Linked DNA regions of Neurospora crassa OR74A. The protein of the gene in region 3 purifies or fractionates together with the protein of the main gene of each other region. This does not show direct contact. Links are inferred from orthologs where the notes say so. Each region holds a gene or a part of one and is shown on either strand. Other genes may lie near its edges. The genes, in order: NCU02380, NCU07874 and hsp98.

Region 1 (5,938 bases), on a different chromosome or scaffold from region 3:
TGATATTGGCCGCTGTTCGGAGGACGATGATTGGCACAGGCGACGCCCTCAGAAACACCTCTGACCCTTGAGTCCAGCCCAACTCGACCAGTGCCCTCCTAAGCTCATCAAGTGTGACCTCCCCATCCCACTTGTAAGGGTTCAGATACATAGTTTCCGGTTCGGCTTTGGGGTCCTCTTCCACATCACCATCCAAGGTCATACCTGGAGGAGCCTTCACAGACGCGTGGACATGGCTCGGGAATGCACAACATGCGCTTGACATGCCGAGGCGTTCGGCAACCGAAGCAAATATGGCGCTCGAGATTATGGGAAGTGACGGATGCTCGTCGTCAGACAGGGCGTGCCCTAGAAGGCAGTTCCTCAGGTTGTGGTAGTTGACGGTCTCGTTCTCCATCCCCATGAGATTCTGGGCCCTCAGCCAGCGATTCAAGGCTAGAGCCTTCTGCCTTGTCGACATGATCTTATGTTCTGGGTGCTCCAGCATAAATCTCTGAGCGAGCGTGTCTAGTGTGCTTAGTATCTGTGGAGGAAAATAAGTGTGAGCTAACATGCATCCGCCGCGAGAGATGGCGTTCAACATACGTATTCAAGGTCTTGGGGCTGGTCGTGTAGAACGAACAGGTCGAATGCGCCGAGAGCACGGTCGAGCCCCGAGTACGGATCGGTCCCCGTTTCATAGCACTTAGACCATACCTCTACAGCCATGCCTCTGTGGATACTGTCCAATGCTGAATTCGCATAGTACCTGGATGAACATTTCAGTAACCGAACGGTCTTTGGATCTAGACAAATCCCACTTGGGCCGAGCATGAATGAGATGCCACCATCAGAGGGGGATCAACTGATACACAAGACCCTTGCGTGCAGTGTACGTGAAATACCAAGCTGCATTGCCGTAAGAGAGCTGCCGCGTACCTTCTGGCCAGAACGTCATCGTGGGATTCATCGACGTGACATTGCTCCAAAAGAAAGTCCTTGGCGTCGTAACCGAACTGACAGATGCGCTGGAGATTCTTCAGCTGGTGGTATCTCGTTGTGAGGATCTCGTCCAGGAGGCGTTTAATCAAGTGGTTCTGCCTTTTCCTTCGAAGCCATAGCTTCTTCCACTCGATAGTAGTTGGTCTCGGGTCCGACAGTTTCGCGAAGAAGCAGTGTTCAGGCTCCCAGAAAGTAAACGAGTTTCGGCAAAGATATCGCCATAAGAGCGGTTCGTTGGCAATGTGGTAGAAACGCCGCGAGACTGGCTGAATGTTCAGGACGTTGTCCTCGGGCGAGACATATAGAAGGATGTGGCGGATGAGCTCATCGGGAAAACGGTCCAGTGAGGAGGAGGACGTCATGGCGCGGCTCGCCAGGTGCACACCCAAGGTGTGTTGGCTGCCAATATATGTGCGCGTCTCGCAACTGCTGGTCCGGATCCTGGACGCTGAGTTGTCGGGAGCTGATTTGTTCAAGACGTCAGAGGTATGGAGAAAGAGTTCAGCTCTGGGATTCGGGGTCCAGAGTCGAGGAGACTGTCGAGCGGAAATCCAGCGATGTGCTTGTACTGGGGGCAGATCGGCACAGGGAAGAGGGACGGGAGTGCAGAAGCAAAGTGGAAGCCAGAGAGGCAGACGGTAACCTTTTTGTTCTTCTTCTTTTTTCTTTCTCCGCGTGCCGGGATGAGGTTGAACAATCAATGTGTCATCCTTCCCGTCACTTCTGCTCCGGCGTCACATTAGTGGTAAAGGCAAAACTTAGTTAGAATGGGAGGCGTCTCGGTACCTGGAATTTGAATGACGGCACCTTATCTAATAAATTTGGCTTTTATTATCGCGAGGTCAGGCAGGCACCTATGACTTGCGGCCCGTATGGTAAGGTGCCAAAAGTTCAAAGTTGGGACGGCGCAACGGCGTAGAAGAGATGGCCCGAGCGTCTGCTCTTACTGTGTATACACTATGCAGTACCTTGCGTACTGGTGTAAGTACTTGCAGTGTAAGTGCCTCTACTGCCTTTACGCGCACTTGATGTTTGTACATATGGCTCGCAGGTGTTCGTTCAATGTTCAAAAAATTAGAGTGCACGTGTCTCGCTGCTGTCTGGGCTGCTCCGTCTTGTTGAGTGCCTGTCCGGGCGGCCGCCATTGAGGTTGCCAAACAGTACCTAGGTGCCGCCCTGTCCGTGTCATGACTGCTGCCCTTCCGGGTCTGATATGTACCTATGCGGCTTCCACCTCGTGCTCGCAGCAGAAGTGACGCCTGTACGCTTTGAAGCACCCCACTTTTGCCCTTAACTGATCTGGACCGCGGGGTAAAAGTGTCCCAAAATTTCCCCTTGCGGTCGGTGTCTTTGCGCCGCCTTCGTTCGTTCCGTTCCTCGTCGGTCCAGACGTCCCCTTCTGTGCTGCTATCGTGTCGTGTCAAGAGTGAGTCTCACCCCCCCTTCCTTTCCAACATTTCGTCCCTCTTCGGGCTATTGCGACCATACACGTCTAAAGTGAGTCACAGCCCGGGCCTCTGACACAACCCGCGAAATCGTTATCTTTAGGAACCCTTCAATCGCAACCGAACACCCCCTCCGACGTTCTGTCGACACATTTCAACATGGAGCAGGTTACCGAAAAAGTTACCGAGACCCTCAAGAAGGTCGCCATTGGCGGCGACAAGCCCCAGAAGGAGAAGAAGCAGAAGAAGGAGAAGGGTGCCCCCGCCGCTGGCGGCGATGCCGGCCCTCTTGAGATGAACCCTCCTCCTGCCTTTATCCAGGAGCGTCTCGACCTGTTCGACAAGCTTTACAAGGAGCAGCAGGAGGAGCTGGCCAAGCGCCCCCGCGATGACATCCTCATCACCATGCCCGACGGCACCACCAAGACCGGCAAGGCCTACGAGACCACCCCCGCCGAGATCGCAAAGGGCATTTCCAACAGCCTCTTCAAGCGCACCGTTGTCGCCAGAATCGACGGAGAGACACTATGGGATCTGGAGCGTCCTCTCGAGAAGAGCTGCAAACTAGAACTCCTCGACTTCAACGATGATCAGGGCAAGTTCGTTTTCTGGCACTCGAGTGCCCACATCCTCGGCGAGGCCTGCGAGCGCAGATTCGGCTGCTCTCTGTGCATTGGCCCCCCCGTCGACAACGGCTTCTACTACGAAATGGCTCTTCCCGGCGGTGCCGCTGTCCAGTCTAGCGACTGGGCACCCCTCGAGAACATCGTCACCAAGATCGTCAAGGAGAAGCAGCCTTTCCAGAGACTGGAGATGAGCAAGGAGGATCTGCTCAAGATGTTCGCCTACAACCCATACAAGCAACACATCATCAAGGACAAGATCCCCGACGGCACCAGAACCACTGTCTACCGTAACGGGCCCCTTATCGATCTCTGCCGTGGTCCTCACGTCCCCGACACCAGCAGGATCGAGGCTTTCGCCATCATGAAGAACTCCTCTTCCTACTTCCTTGGTGACGCCAACAACGACTCCCTCCAGCGTATCTATGGTGTCTCGTTCCCCGACAAGAAGCAGATGGCCGCTCACAAGAAGTTCCTTGAGGAAGCTGCCAAGCGCGATCACCGCCTCATTGGCAAGCAGCAGGAGCTTTTCTACTTCGAGGAGTGCTCGCCCGGCTCTGCCATGTGGCTGCCCCACGGCATGCGCATCAACAACGCCATCATGGAATACATCAAGGAGGAGTACTGGAAGCGCGGTTACGACGAGGTCATGACTCCCAACATGTTCAACGTCGCTCTTTGGGAGCAGTCCGGTCACTTGGCTCACTACAAGGATGACATGTTTATTCTCGACGTTGACAAGGAGCAGTTTGGTCTGAAGCCCATGAACTGCCCTGCTCACGCCATGATGTTCCGTCACCGTGACCGCAGCCACAAGGAGCTTCCCCTCAGGCTTGCTGATTTCGGTGTGCTCCACAGAAACGAGGCCAGTGGTGCTCTCTCTGGCCTTACCCGTGTGCGCAGATTCCAGCAGGATGACGCTCATATCTTCTGCCGTGAGGATCAGATCAAGGCCGAGGTTGCCGACCTCTTCGACTTCATGAAGTCCTTCTACGGCATGCTTGGCCTCACCTTCAAGCTGAAGCTCTCTACCCGCCCTGAGAAGTACATGGGTGAGATTGAGACCTGGGACCGCGCCGAGGCTCGTCTCAAGGAGGCTCTCAACGAGTTCGTCGCTGCTACTGGAGGCACCTGGGAGCTGAACGAGGGCGATGGTGCCTTCTACGGCCCCAAGATCGATATCGCTGTTTTGGACTGCCTCAACCGCCCCTGGCAGTGCGCCACCATCCAGCTCGACTTCCAGCAGCCCATCAACTTCTCTCTCGAGTACATGACCGCTGATGCCCAGGCCAAGCAGGATGAGGACAAGGCTGCCTCCAAGGCTGCTAAGCCTGAAGCTCCCAAGGAGGAGGAAGAGGCTCCCAAGGAGGGCGAGGAGAAGAAGAAGAAGGCTCTTCTTGTCAAGAAGCCCCTTACTGCCGGCTGCGCCCGCCCCGTCATGATTCACCGTGCCATGGCTGGTTCCATCGAGCGCTTCACTGCCATTCTTGCCGAGCACTTCGCCGGCAAGTGGCCTTTCTGGATGTCGCCCCGCCAGGTCATGGTCATTCCCGTTGGCATGGGCTTCCTTGATTACGCCAAGGAGGTTGCCTTGACCCTCAAGAAGGAGAAGATCCACGTCGGTATGTTTTCCCTGACTCACCCCCGTTATTGGGCAAACAAAAATCGAATACTGACACCAAAACCACCACAACAGATGTCGATAGCAGTGGCAACACCCTCCAGAAGAAGATTCGTTCTGCCCAGCTTGCCCAATGTAAGTCGCGAGCCTGTTCCCCTTTACCAAAATTGCCCCTTCTAATGACGCAACACAGACAACTTCATCTTTGTCGTCGGCGACGACGAGAAGACCAACCGCAAGGTCAACATCCGTTACCGTGACGACACCTCCACCCAGGCCCGTGACGTGCCCTACTCTCTCGAGGAGGCCGTCGAGAAGCTTCGCGCGCTCAAGGCCGATCGCGGCATGTACAACCCTTTCCCTGCCCATAACCCCAAGAAGGAGGAGGCTACCAAGGAGGAGGTCAAGGCTTAAAGCTCCAGCTCAACTTAGGGAGTACATGAAGCAAAAGAAATAACAAACTCAAATTTAAAAGTTCATGTTGGCAGCAAGGGGGCGGCGTAGGCAGGAGTATGGGTTATAGTCATCTAGCATATGCTTGTTACAGAACGGTAGAGAAAGAGGCGAATATTTTTGTTAAATCTTATACTAAGGAGCCTTTGATATTCTTTGGAAATGGTTTGGTGGTCTGTCGCTCGGGCGCACTGGTGCTTCTGCATAGACCTAAACACTGCATATCAGAAGAAATGATTTCGCGTAGACAGGATACGGACAAGAAGGCGAAGACGGGAAAAAGAGAGAGGGTATTTGTATTCTAAAATGGAAAAGCGTGTACACACTCGCACTACACAATGCAGCCAACCGGATAGTGACCAGAAAGGAAAATGGCAGGAAAAAAAAGAGAGCAGGCATGATAGTCATTTCAACAATTCTCAGAAACCCCCCAGACCCACGGCTAGTTCCTTCTTCTTCTTCTTTCACTTTTTAAGTTTTCTTTTTGTCTCCGCTTTCCATCTGTTAAAGAATTCCCCGTCTTTTGCTTTCCTGCCCAAGACCTTTCTGTCTCTCAATCTTCCCTTTCTCTTCACCGACGTTCAACTCGTAGCGGGCTTCTTCCTTATTGAAATCCAGGCCTTTACCTTTCCATAAACCAACTCAATCATCCCCGTCCCTCGTTCCTTGCGGCACAAGTTCGTAGACCCTAGTCCGTCTTTATGCTTTCAAGGCTTGGGAATATGAATGGTCTTGCTTGTCATCAAGCAGCCGTGGAGCATGAAGATGAGGACAATGGGGTGGAATTCGAGCGCGGTGCCCTGGAACATGGTACC
Region 2 (5,938 bases), about 1.4 Mb from region 3:
AACACCTTCTTCCGTCCCACAACAAGCTTATCATCCCCGCTGGTGGTTACCAACGACATCTTGTCAGGTCATCTGGATCCAGTCCAAAAGTTTTAAACGGCGATCTAGAGGCTTGTTGGACATCCAATTCTATACAAAGACTCATACAAGTCTACCCTCCTCATTTACTAAGTCCTTCAAGGGTATAACGTACATTTTGAAGGACATGATGCTACGTGAGATGAAATCGCGTACCGGAAAACGGAACGTGGAAAATGGGTATCTGTTTAAGAAACATCCAAAGGCCCACGAAAATACAACGGTAGGAAACGCGCAATGGGTATATCGGAAGAAAAATGCCGCCTTGAATCTTGCGTACACATCGAATTGAAATGCTGAAGGAGACGAAATTGGAGAACCGCCAAAGGGAAGAAGAGATCTTGTCGTGACGTGTTCTGGTAAAAGACCTCGAAACTGACTTAACTTTTGTGAAAATCTGGTATCCAGCGTTGGAAAGATTTTGGAAACATATCATCAGGAAGACGAGAGAGAAACACCTAGCAAACGTAGAAGTGTAGAGTAAGATAAGACGTTTCGATCGTAGCTTGAGAGAAGAGGAGAGAAAACCGAAGGAAATTACACAAAACCCAAACGGAGAAGAACTTGCAGAAAGAACCATTGGCCCGTGGGAATCACTCAGAGAAACGAAGATAGAGAAGAAAGCGCGAGAAAGAAAACGCATTCGAAACTTGACAGGTCAGAGATAAAAGAAAAGAAGGAAGAGCAGTGAGTGATACATGAGACCAGAGAAGTAAAGAAGACAGGCTCCCAAATTCCCAACAAAATGACTTCCAGTTCCAAAATCCAGTCCTTGATCAACCGGACTTGAGCGAGGATTTTTTTCCATCCTGGATGTGTGAAAAAGAACCATCCTAACACGAATGCAGCCGCAAAGCCTCCCACCTCTAGTTGGAGCTGAGAAAGCCATTAACTTTTCCACCACATGGCAAAGGCGTTTCAATAGAACGGAAAAGAGACGTGGCCCATGCTGTGACCACTACTAAGCAACTGCTCACCGAGGCTTCTTAGGCTTCTAGCCCTGGTAACCACCAAACCCATTGCCGAAGTTCTGGGCTGGGGACGGCTGGTTCCACTGGGCGTTGGGACCGGGCTGACCACGGCCATAACCACCAGCGCTCGGCGGGCCGTTGTAACCCATCTGGGAGCCGTAGCCGGCAGGTGACTGAGCTTGAGGGCCGTTGTAGTTACCTTGCTGGCCTGGGTAAGAGTCTACTTTGTGCATTAGCGGCTGACATGTAGAGACTAGTTCACCGAGTCAAGACTCACTGCCATAGTTATTGAAATAAGTGGAGGGAGTGCCGGGATAACCAGGCGTCTGGGCACTCTGAGGGCTATAAGGCTGGTTTGGGTCGAACTGTTGAGGGTTGGGCGTCTTGTCCTTGCCCCACTACACACGAAAGGTTAATAATGTCCTCGTCCAAGATAAGAGATTGTCACTTACGCTGCACTTCAAAGGCCGACCATTGACCTGATACCCATTAAGCTGGCAGATGGCCATGGCAGCATTCTCGTGAGTGTCCATCTTGATGAATGCAAAGCCGCGATCGGCCTGGAAACGAGACTCGACGACGTAGCCGAAGTTCTGGAAAAGGGGCACGAGGTCATTCTGAGTGGTGTAAGGAGTCAGGTTGCCGACATAGCAGGTCGTCTGCCAAGCAGGGGTCTGGGCGACAATCATGTCATAGCTGTGAACTCCGTGGGTAGGGAAGTGGTGGTGGCCATAAGGAGTGGTGGGAGTAAGACCCATCTGCTGCATAGCTTGCTGTTGAGCAATGGAAGGCTGACCCTTCTGGTTGGCCCAGTTGCAACGAATGGCACGAGATCCAAGCCATTCGCCATCCATAGAGCTCAGAGCCTTCTCGGCATCGGGACGGTCGCGGAAAGCAACGAAGCCATAGCCGCGGGAGCGACCAGTCTTCATGTCCCACATGACTCGAGCCTCGGAGACGGAGCCAAAGGCAGAAAAGGCCTGAAGCAGAACCTCGTCGTTGACTTCGTTGGAGAGATCGCCGACGAAGATGTGGAAGTGGCCCGAAGTATCCTCCTTGTTCTGGTTGTTCGACTGGTAGGCCCAGTTGACACGGATTTCCTGCATAATTACCGGTGGTCAGCTCTGCTCTATGGAATCATGGCCAAAGATTCGTAATGTGGAATGGGCGAACTTACGGACTGATGCACGCGCCGACCGTTGAGCGTCTGCATAGCACGCTCAGCCGCACCGGGATCATCATACTCAACGAAGCCGTAGTTGTAGCCCTTTTGCTGTTTGTCATCCTGAATTGTTAGCAGAATGTCTTGGGCGTCAAGGAATCAAACTGGCAGCCTCAACAGGCTGATGTGAAAAATGAACTAACTCGCGGCTGCTCGGAGCCAGGTTTACCCACGTTCTTGTCGGGAATAATTTTGACATTCTGGACATGGCCAGTCGTCTCGAAAATCTGTCTCAAGACGTCCTCGGTGACCCTAGGGTCAAGGCCGCCGACGTAGAGAGCGCGCTTGTTCGGCTCGGGGGCGGCGCGGCGGCCGAAGGGGTTGCCGGCGCTGGTGGGCGACATGATGCCGCTCGTGTCACCGTTCCCACCCATGGGCGACGTAATCGCCGTAGGGATGGGATTGGTGTTTTGCGGGATGTGCAGCGGCGGAGGAGGCATGTGTGCGGAATTCGCGTTGTTGTTTTGACCGTTCTCGTAGCCGGGCGCGCCTGCGTTTGGTTGAGGTGGAGGGGGAAGCTGTCCGGTGGTGGGAGGCGGGCCAACGTCAGCCATGTCGGAGAAATGGTCGAGGATCTGGTAGAAATCAACGAGCAGAGCGGCGATGGCGATGATTGGGGGACGAGCAGCGCAGAGACCCTCCTTGGCGAAGCAGGCCCCACTATAAGCAGCTGTTGAAACGATGGGGTGAGGCAGTGATTGTAGACGACTACGGGAGCGTCTGCGACTGTAATTTCCAGCGGACTTTGACTGGAAACTGAATAAGCTTGCAAGAAGGAAGACCTGACCGATCACAGTCGGGGAGATGCAGACTTCTTATTGCAAAAAGAAAATTGACCCCGCGCGAAAGATGCGACGGAAGAAGATTGCTCGAGTCTCGGCCACGTTCTTGTAGCTCGTTTTATAGTAGTTACAGGCGGGCGGGCGCAGTGCGGTAGCGCAAGATGGGATGGCAAACGGAGGCCGTTCGGTGGAGCAGACTCGCTGTGGGTAGGAGACTGTTGGGTGCACAGACAAACTTTGCGCCCACGAAATGGAAGGAATCTGAACGGAATGGCACTGTCGTAGATGGCTGGAGATCTCGGCGTGTATCGGGGGTCTAGACACGCGATCGTTGTTGAGCCGGCGAACAGCAGCTGAAGCCAGGGACGATGACGATGCGGAGACGGGGGACGAGGATGGCTCCCGTTGATGCGAACAGTAGAGGACAGGGATGATGGGTTGGTGACGGTCAGTCGAATAACCGACAAGGGGAACTAGGTAAGTAAAAGAAGAAGGGGAACTGCAGTGATGACCTGAACTAAACAGCAAAATAGTCAAGAAAGACAAGATGAACTGGAAAACGGCCGTAAACCCAAAAGGAAACGCCCCGAGATTCACAACAGCCTGTCCGAAGAGATGACTTGTCTGGGTTTCTTCTGCGATGGTGTTGTTCGGTGGGAGAAGAAGATAGGGAGAAGGGGGGGAAACATTTGGAGCTGACAATGAGCCTGATGGAGAAGACGGCCCGGGGTGAGCTCTGAAAGATGCGACGAGGACGGGAGGGGAAGGGAAGACGGGGATTTTTGATGGTGCCATCGTCCTGGGATTGGCGGGCAGGCAGCCACTGAGACGCGAGGACGGAAGGGTCAAGGGACAGAAAGGCACATTTGCAGAGCGGAGGAGGGGCGGGACGAACTCCAGAGGCAGGTTGGATCATGACCGGCCGATTCGATTCGCACTGGTGGACGGGCACGAGCAACCAGAGTATACCTAGGTAGTAACTGGCCGTCGCCGTCTTTATCTAGGGCTGATACTCGTAATCAACCCTTTCTTCACACGTGCCGTAGCAATCTCGAACGAAAGAACCATGGAGGTTCTGGGCGTTTTGGTGTCAACATAGGAGTAAAGTCTAGAGAATCAAGAGCTCTGATTGAGTAAATGGATGCCATATGTGGTTCCTATGATCGTTGGGACGTAGAGGTATCGAAACTATTGACCAGTAAGGCGCTAAGGGACCTAGGTACCTGTTATAGTCTGATATATACCACAGATACGAGGAGTCCGAGTATCAGTATATTCCCGTTCATCGACTTGCGTGTTGTCTGTCCATACCTATTCTGATCATTTTGATCCTGAAGGCGGAGCACCAGATATGAATGGGTGTGTGCTGAGGGTATCGAGGAGGTTAGTTGTTGTTGGTTCACGGCCCGGGGGCTGGAGGCAAGGCGCCAAGGTAGCCAACCACACTGTGTCGTGGGTAGCTGAGATATTGACTCCCAAAGGGTTCAAGGTTCAGGCTTTCTTGGTTTGGTCCCCTCTTCCATTCTCGAACTGGAAGCTTTCCTTTCCCTTCGAGATCATCAATGCGCCCTGTGACGACCTTGGCAGAAACGAAATACACTATGATTTTACCAGCCCTACACCTCTGCATGGACACAAAAGAGATATACCATTCCCTGCCATTCTCCAAAACGGCACTGCCCTTTTATATCCATGCAGAGATGTCGGTACAACCTCATCGCGGGCTGAATATGCTGAACATGCCACATTCGCAACGCAGGCACCTGGATGGTTTTCTATAAAAGGGGGATGGAACGCGTGGGTAGACCGGGGTGATACTTGCAGTGAATGCATGACCCGACTCGCCCTCCATCTCATCAGTCCGCCCAACACGTGCCAATGGAGCACGACGGAACGGCCAGCTGGGCCGATCTGTCATCGCCGACCACTGTAACGGCTCATTGTGTCAATGAGGGTTTGGCACTCTGTCCAGTAAAGTCACAGTTATATATAATTATACCTTCTTTGGCAGGACGTATGGCAGTAGAGAGTGACGAACGGAGGAGTTTACGGCAGCCGCTTTTTCGCACAATAGGTCATTGACTGCCGTGCTAATTGCCAGGTACCTATTGACAGCTCAAACTAAACCTAGTCGAGCAACAATACAGCCTTTACGTGTGGGGTTGAATCGAGTGGATTCGCAGAGCTTCTAGTTTGTGTAACCGCTGAATAAACAGCAATTGGTGGTCAAGATGAAGCTTAAACGGACAGTCCCATCGCAAGGGAACCTTTTTTTGCTGGATCTGTGTGAGGTGATTCTGTCTGCCCTCTGGGCCCGTCGCCCCGTCCCCTGGATTTCATTGCGGGAACGACAAGGCCAACTCGGGGAAGCACCCGACGCTGGCGGTCAAGGCACCCACGCCTTTCAACCCCACAAAGAGCCTCAACCGCGCGGAGGTTCCAGGGACCCGACTGCACACTCCGACGCTAGAACTGGAATTACCTACTACCTACCTACCTACATACCAGCACCGGCCCCTCCAAGGTGCAGAGCAGCTACCATCCATCAGCTTCTGAACACCGCATAAGTAACATCCCACCATTCTTCCATTTGTTTGAATTCCCACTTCAAGTTCCATTCAGTATCCCCTCAACTTCCAGGTTTCATACGACCTTGGACAACCTTCATTTGCAGTCACCCAGAACCTTGATCCAGATACCTCTCAATTCAACCACCACTGGATCAGACGCGAGGTCATAGTTCCATCGAGCCTGAAGAGTTCAGATACCATATTTATCAGAAGTTTATCCCTGGAGTGTGTGCTCGCACAGCAACAGGGAGATAGGAACTTGTCCATGCGTGGATTGCCTTGACCCTGGACGACCCCCTTTGTCTGCCCGCCGTC
Region 3 (5,924 bases):
CGGGGTAGCTTTGTTTTTGGCCGTCTGCTCATGCTCAACAACAGTCGGGTCTAACCAGCAAGCCGGTCGGCACTTTGCCGGATCCTCCTCCCATGTAATCAACTTACATACACACAAGACGGGACATCTATTGCAAGGAACCGAGACTACTTGTTCGCCCTTGACCCAAGACTGGGGAACGGTCTGAGACCGGTGCGTTAGACTCACACCATAATCACATTTGTTCACCATTTAGCAGTTCACTTCAGTCATCGTGGCAACACGGAATCAGCTTTGTTACGGTAGTAGCTAAGTTGTATATGATCTTTGCACTGTACGCGGAAGGAGAGTATCATATGTACCTAGTGTATGTCAAGGACCACGGCTGATGTAAACACATGATTTTGATTCCCACTAAATCTTCAGAATCAATTCTCCGCCGTTCTTTTAGATACATCATGTCTACCTCATGTGAATCATAACATCTTTCGTTTCATATCATGTAACGTACCTAAACATACAGGCCCCAAACTCCAAATGCAAAATGTGCATGCTTTAAACCCCGAAGGCTATCCCATTTTCAAATTCCTCAAGTCATGATACCAAATTTCCGTCTCCCTAACACTCGGGGCGTCCACGATTATCTTCTTCACTAATCCTCCTAGTCCACCTCTACGTCGTCGCGCATGACTGAGTCATCTTTCCTATTAGACATCTAGTCGTCGTAAAGATCCTCATCCATCTCAGATTCCGGCGCAACCTCGTCAACTGCGTCTTCCTCATCCAACATCATTTCGTCGTCCTCATCATTGACCTCGGGATGGTTGGGAAGGACTGTAATCTTGCCGTCTTGGACGACAACCCTGGCAACCTCACCGTCGCGGATGCTGCCACGGAGGATCAAAACGGCCAAGCGGTTCAGAACCTCCTTCTCAAGCACACGTTGCAGTGGTCTAGCGCCATAAGCTGGCGAGTAACCAAGAGCACCCAGCTTGTCTTTGGCTTCTTCCGACACCTCGATTTTGACATTGCGATCGTTGTCTTGGAGCCGCTTCTGGATTTCCGCAATGCGTAGCTCGACAATCTTGCGGATCTCGCGACGAGTGAGACGGTTGAAGATGACAATTGAGCTGATACGGTTGAGGAACTCGGGAAGGAAGTAGTTGCGCAGGGCGTTCATGACAAGCTCGCGAGTGGTTGGATCAATCTTGCCGTCCTTGGCGTTGGGACGAGAAAGGTACTCAGCACCCAAGTTAGACGTCATGACAACGATGCAGTTCCTGGCATCGACGACTCTGCCCTGACCGTCCGTGATACGACCGTCATCCATGAGCTGTAGCAGAACGGTCAAGACCTCCTTGGCTGCCTTTTCAACCTCGTCAAAGAGAAGGATGGAGAACGGCTTGCGGCGAAGGGCCTCAGTCAGCTGGCCACCAGAGTCGTGACCGACGTAGCCGGGAGGAGCACCAATCATGCGGCTGAGAGAGTGACGCTCCTGATACTCAGACATGTCGAAACGGATCATGGCCTTAGGATCATCAAACAGGAACTCGGCAAGAGCCTTGGTGAGCAGAGTCTTACCGGTACCCGAAGGACCGCAGAACAGGAAGCTGGGAGGCTGGTTGGGGTTGGAGAGACCCGACCGCTGCAGTCTGATAGCGTTGGACACAGACTGAACGGCCTCCTTCTGACCGACAACAATCTTGCTGAGATGCTTCTCCATGTGCAAAAGCTTCTCCTTCTCGCTGGTCTTGAGGCGTGTGACGGGAATACCGGTCCACCGTGCTACAATCTCGTTGATCTGATCGGGACCAACGACATCGGTGATCATGGCACCGCCGGTTTCGGCCGCAGCGGCGTTGAGCGCAGCGTCAGCCGCAGCCTTTTCCTTCTCAAGCCTCTTGATTACTGCCTCCTGCTCGGGGATGGCGTAATACTGAAGATCAGCAGCACGGCTGTGATCTCCCATTCTGCTAGCCTCTTCGGCCTTTTGTCTCAAGCTCTCAAGCTTCATCCTGGCTTCCTGGAGAGCCTTGGCTCTCTGTTTCTCCTGTTCGTATTTCTCACGGAGGGGTCTGAGCTCCTCCTCCACATTCTCGGCATCCTTCTTCGCCTGTTCAAGACGAGCCTTGGAAGCCTCATCCTTCTCGCGAGACAAGGCGTGAATCTCAATCTTGAGCTGACGCAACTTGCGCTCCAAGGAATCGATGATTTCGGGCTGCGATTCTCGAGCGACTCTGACTGCGGCAGCCGCCTCGTCGATCAAATCGATAGCCGAATCAGGAAGTCTGCGGGAAGTGAGGTAGCGGGCCGCAAGATTTGCAGCGGCCACAATGGCAGCATCGGAAATAGTGACACCATGGTGCACCTCGTACTTCTCCTTGAGACCACGTAGAATGGAGATTGTCTCAGAAACGGAAGGCTCCTTGACAATGACCTGCTGGAAACGACGTTCAAAGGCAGCATCCTTCTCGATGTACTTGCGGTACTCGGCCAGGGTGGTAGCGCCAATGCAGTGAAGCTGACCACGGGCGAGCATTGGCTTCAAAAGGTTGGCCGCATCCATGCCACCTTCTCCGGACGCGCCAGCGCCCATGAGCAAATGGATTTCATCGATGAAAAGGATGATCATCTCCTTGGACTCGGAGATCTCCTTCAGAACTCCCTTCATGCGCTCTTCAAACTCACCCCTGTACTTGCTACCAGCCACCAGGGCACCGACATCAAGAGACAGAAGCTTGCAGTTGGCCAGATTGTCGGGCACATCAGCGTTGACGATGCGCTGAGCGAGACCCTCAACGACGGTAGTCTTACCGACACCAGGCTCACCGATAAGGACAGGGTTGTTCTTGGTACGACGTGAAAGAATACGGATCACTCTCCGAATTTCCTCCTCACGACCAATGACGGGATCAATCTTGCCTTCCCTGGCCATGGCTGTCATATCAATGGTGAACTTGGCGAGATTCTCGTGCTCCTCTTCAGTGTCAGCATTGCGAGAGTCGACGCGCTTGGTACCGCGAATGGCCTGGATGGCATCGGTAACGAGCTTTGGCTTGGGAATGTTGGCCTCCTTGAGCGCATTCATGATCGAGGGCTCCTCGGCCAGGGCTGTGATAAGGTGGTCGACGGCAATGTATGTGTCTTTTTGCGTCTTCTGCAGCTCGTTGGCCTTGCGCAGGACTGTATGGAAGGAAGGAGCCATCGAGACATGGTCGGGAGGAGGGTCTTGGCTGGGGAGGCGGACGAGGGCCTTCTTGAGGGCGCGGTCGAACAGCTGGGGATCGCCGTGGGCTCTCTCAATGACTTGGCGGAAGAGAGAGCTGGTTGCCCCGGCTGGTGCATTTTGCTGGTCCTTGCTCGGATCTGGGAGAGGGTCGAGAAGCGCGACTGCCAGATGAACGGGGAGGAGTTGCGAGTGGGCGTATTGCTCTGCCAGGGCCATGGCATCCTCCAATGCCTTCTTGGCCCGGTCTGTAAATTCCATTTTCGACGTCATGATGAATTAGTGTGCGAGACTCTGTTGGTCCCTACAGAATTTGTGTGGTGTTGTGTTTCGATTGGGGGTGTGTGTGTATGTGTTATTGTTGATGTACAAAAGAGAAAAATCGCGGAAATGTTGAGATGAAGCTAGTGTGACGTGAGGCTTCACTCTTGATGTATATCTTGGAGAAGAAAAGAACAATTGTGTTTGGGGTATCTCTTAGTAGACTTTTGTGTTTTGATCTGGGGAACAAACAAAGAATCGCTGACGGGGGGGAGAGGTCAGAAGGAGTGGAATTTATTCGTGAGCCTTGGTGGGGAGAGAAGTCGCGAGTTGATGCCCGAGCTGGCCGTGCAAGAGCAAGTGGGATGAGTATCTACCTCTAGCTGCTTCTCGATGGTCCTCGCAGCCTGTCGCAAGTAGAGGTAGCTGTGCGGGCGGGCGCACGGGAAGCGACGACATCATAGTGACAAGCAAGCAGGCTGCCCGCAAGAACGAAGCGACTCGAATCTTCAGCGGTCTTCCTGTCACCATATACTGTTGGCTCCTGTTCGGGCTTGAGGGGTATAAAGTGGGTACCTGGAGGGCGGGGCACATGGAAGCTTTCCAGTGGGGTCCGCGCTTTCGGACTGTCTCTCCGTCATCGCAGTACCTGCATCGACCTGACTCCAACCAGAGAGGATTGTCGAGACCCAAACAGCTGGACGTTACTGCAATGCTTCTTTTCACTTCCGTCTTCTCCTTCCACTATAATCCTTCACCGTTGTTCTTTGTCTTCGTTTGCGCAGATGAACAACAAGGGACGTTCTCTCCCAGTTGGACGAACCACAATGTCGGTATCCTCACACTCCAGCATCTCTCTCTCACCATACATACCTTTTCCCATCTACAGGTCTGGCCAAGAAGGCGCAGTAAGGTCTTCGGCGATTACCGCGTAAGGGAAGCTCCTTGCGCATCCGTGATTTCTACGACGAGATAGTCGAATACGTAATGTTGCGCATCGTGGTGGGTTGGGTATCATGAGATTCCTCTAACCAGCGCGCCCAACGTGAGCCAGTTTGGTTGGTCACACTTCATATTCCTTCGAGATGGATGAATTCGGTGCATTCGGTGGTATTCTATACCACAATACTCCCACGTCTCGTTTGCCACTATGTAGTCATCAACACCTCCCCACTTGAGAACCTCGGACAGGAACGGAGACACTGGTTGAGGAGTCTGAATGGCAATCGATCAACTCGATGCTTGATACTAGTTTGGCTTCTTTTTGTGTCAGTAGAAGTTGACTTATAATCCCTCTTTGATGGGTGCAAGGCCATGGCTCGACCCATTCACGACCAGAACCACAAGCTGCCACTTCCAACGTCAAGTGGCCTTCTAGTTACGCTTTTGTCAGTTGAACAGCGAGCTTCTTTGCTGCGATATCACTCCGATATGCATTACAATCTCTGGAAAGCTAACTTGCACGGTTAACCCTGCCAGCAATCTGGGCTACCAGGACGATTGAGAAGTCAGCCAGGCTCGCCGCGCAGGAAAACAATCGTGTAGATGAGGACCGAATCCTGAAAGAGAGTAGCCCGCTGGATACAGCTGGAGATCATTGGCCTCGACTGGGGTTTGTTTCTTCCATCACACCAGGACTTGGATGAACATCGCGATGCAGGAGTTCCCTCTGGAAATATAAACTTCATGGATGTGGCATATTATCCGCTTCAGGTTGTCACTTCAGTTGCCGGCCTGTGACAGTGTCGCTAGGGCGGCACGCTGGGGTCGCGCACGGCAAACGTAGAAGCGGGTAAAAGTGGGACTCGGCTATTTTAGCTACGAGTATCCACTGCAGCCATTGCATCTAAAGCGGAGAATTGATGGCTTGGCGTCTCCCCATTATCGGAAGAGTGGGTTTCCTTGTCGATAAAAAAAAGTTCTGGCAGAGAAACGCGGGCGAACCTCCATCGGTTGCGGCTGTCAGCGCTTGGAGATTCCCTCGCATTGCATCACCAACTCCATCAATTCACAACACACCGACAAGATGCGCCCTCTTACAGAAACGGAGCAGAAGACCGTCTTCGAGAAGGTCAGTTTCAGTGCCGAAACAATGTCATATTCAAACAAGGATGAACAACAGCTGACTGATTGCTTTGGCACCCTAAAGCTTGCAAACTACTGCACCGATCTCAAGAGTCTTATCGCTCCTCTCGATGATGGCGACAGATACGTTTTCCGTCTGAACCACTCTCGCGTACGTCCTGCCTCTCTCGCCTCCCTCGCTTCCTCTCGACCTTGCTCGATACACCGTCTCTTCCCTTTTGGCTGTGCGCCACCGAGGACAACGACAGCCGTTGCGACGGCGATGACAGCCACCACACCACCACCAACCAGAATAAGGGCCAGATAAACTGACAAAGATGATGATATACAGGTTTACTACGTCCGTCTCTCCGTTGCCAACCTCGCCACCAGT

Evidence for each region.
Region 1: the proteins of hsp98 (region 3) and NCU02380 purify together in Saccharomyces cerevisiae (affinity purification with mass spectrometry, with the first as the bait; 3 studies listed by BioGRID). This does not show direct contact. The link is inferred for Neurospora crassa OR74A from reciprocal best matches to the Saccharomyces cerevisiae genes HSP104 and THS1.
Region 2: the proteins of hsp98 (region 3) and NCU07874 purify together in Saccharomyces cerevisiae (affinity purification with mass spectrometry; 3 studies listed by BioGRID). This does not show direct contact. The link is inferred for Neurospora crassa OR74A from reciprocal best matches to the Saccharomyces cerevisiae genes HSP104 and PUB1.

The regions. Positions count from the first base shown.
Region 1 is NC_026507.1:2,696,767-2,702,704, reverse strand, and holds NCU02380 (threonyl-tRNA synthetase), read left to right. Parts: upstream 1-2,243; 5' UTR 2,244-2,407; exon of another isoform or gene 2,408-2,529; 5' UTR 2,530-2,585; coding exon 2,586-4,671; intron 4,672-4,745; coding exon 4,746-4,805; intron 4,806-4,863; coding exon 4,864-5,084; 3' UTR 5,085-5,511; downstream 5,512-5,938. Other genes in the region: mus-10 (mutagen sensitive-10 protein), read right to left, coding at 1-523, 586-748, 919-1,343; NCU02381 (phosphatidylserine synthase), read right to left, coding at 5,831-5,938.
Region 2 is NC_026503.1:1,196,530-1,202,467, forward strand, and holds NCU07874 (nuclear and cytoplasmic polyadenylated RNA-binding protein pub1), read right to left. Parts: upstream 3,782-5,938; 5' UTR 2,826-3,781; coding exon 2,445-2,825; intron 2,323-2,444; coding exon 2,227-2,322; intron 2,150-2,226; coding exon 1,502-2,149; intron 1,448-1,501; coding exon 1,327-1,447; intron 1,270-1,326; coding exon 1,073-1,269; 3' UTR 65-1,072; downstream 1-64. UniProt on the Saccharomyces cerevisiae protein: May be associated with hnRNA within the nucleus and remains associated during nucleocytoplasmic mRNA transport, once the proteins are in the cytoplasm, disassembly of PUB1-RNA complexes may occur prior to PAB1 binding and formation of a translationally competent RNP complex.
Region 3 is NC_026503.1:2,634,644-2,640,567, forward strand, and holds hsp98 (hsp98-like protein), read right to left. Parts: upstream 3,974-5,924; 5' UTR 3,479-3,973; coding exon 695-3,478; 3' UTR 270-694; downstream 1-269. Other genes in the region: NCU00105 (ribosome biogenesis protein NIP7), read left to right, coding at 5,493-5,537, 5,616-5,702, 5,883-5,924. UniProt on the Saccharomyces cerevisiae protein: Required, in concert with Hsp40 (YDJ1) and Hsp70 (SSA1) and small Hsps (HSP26), for the dissociation, resolubilization and refolding of aggregates of damaged proteins after heat or other environmental stresses.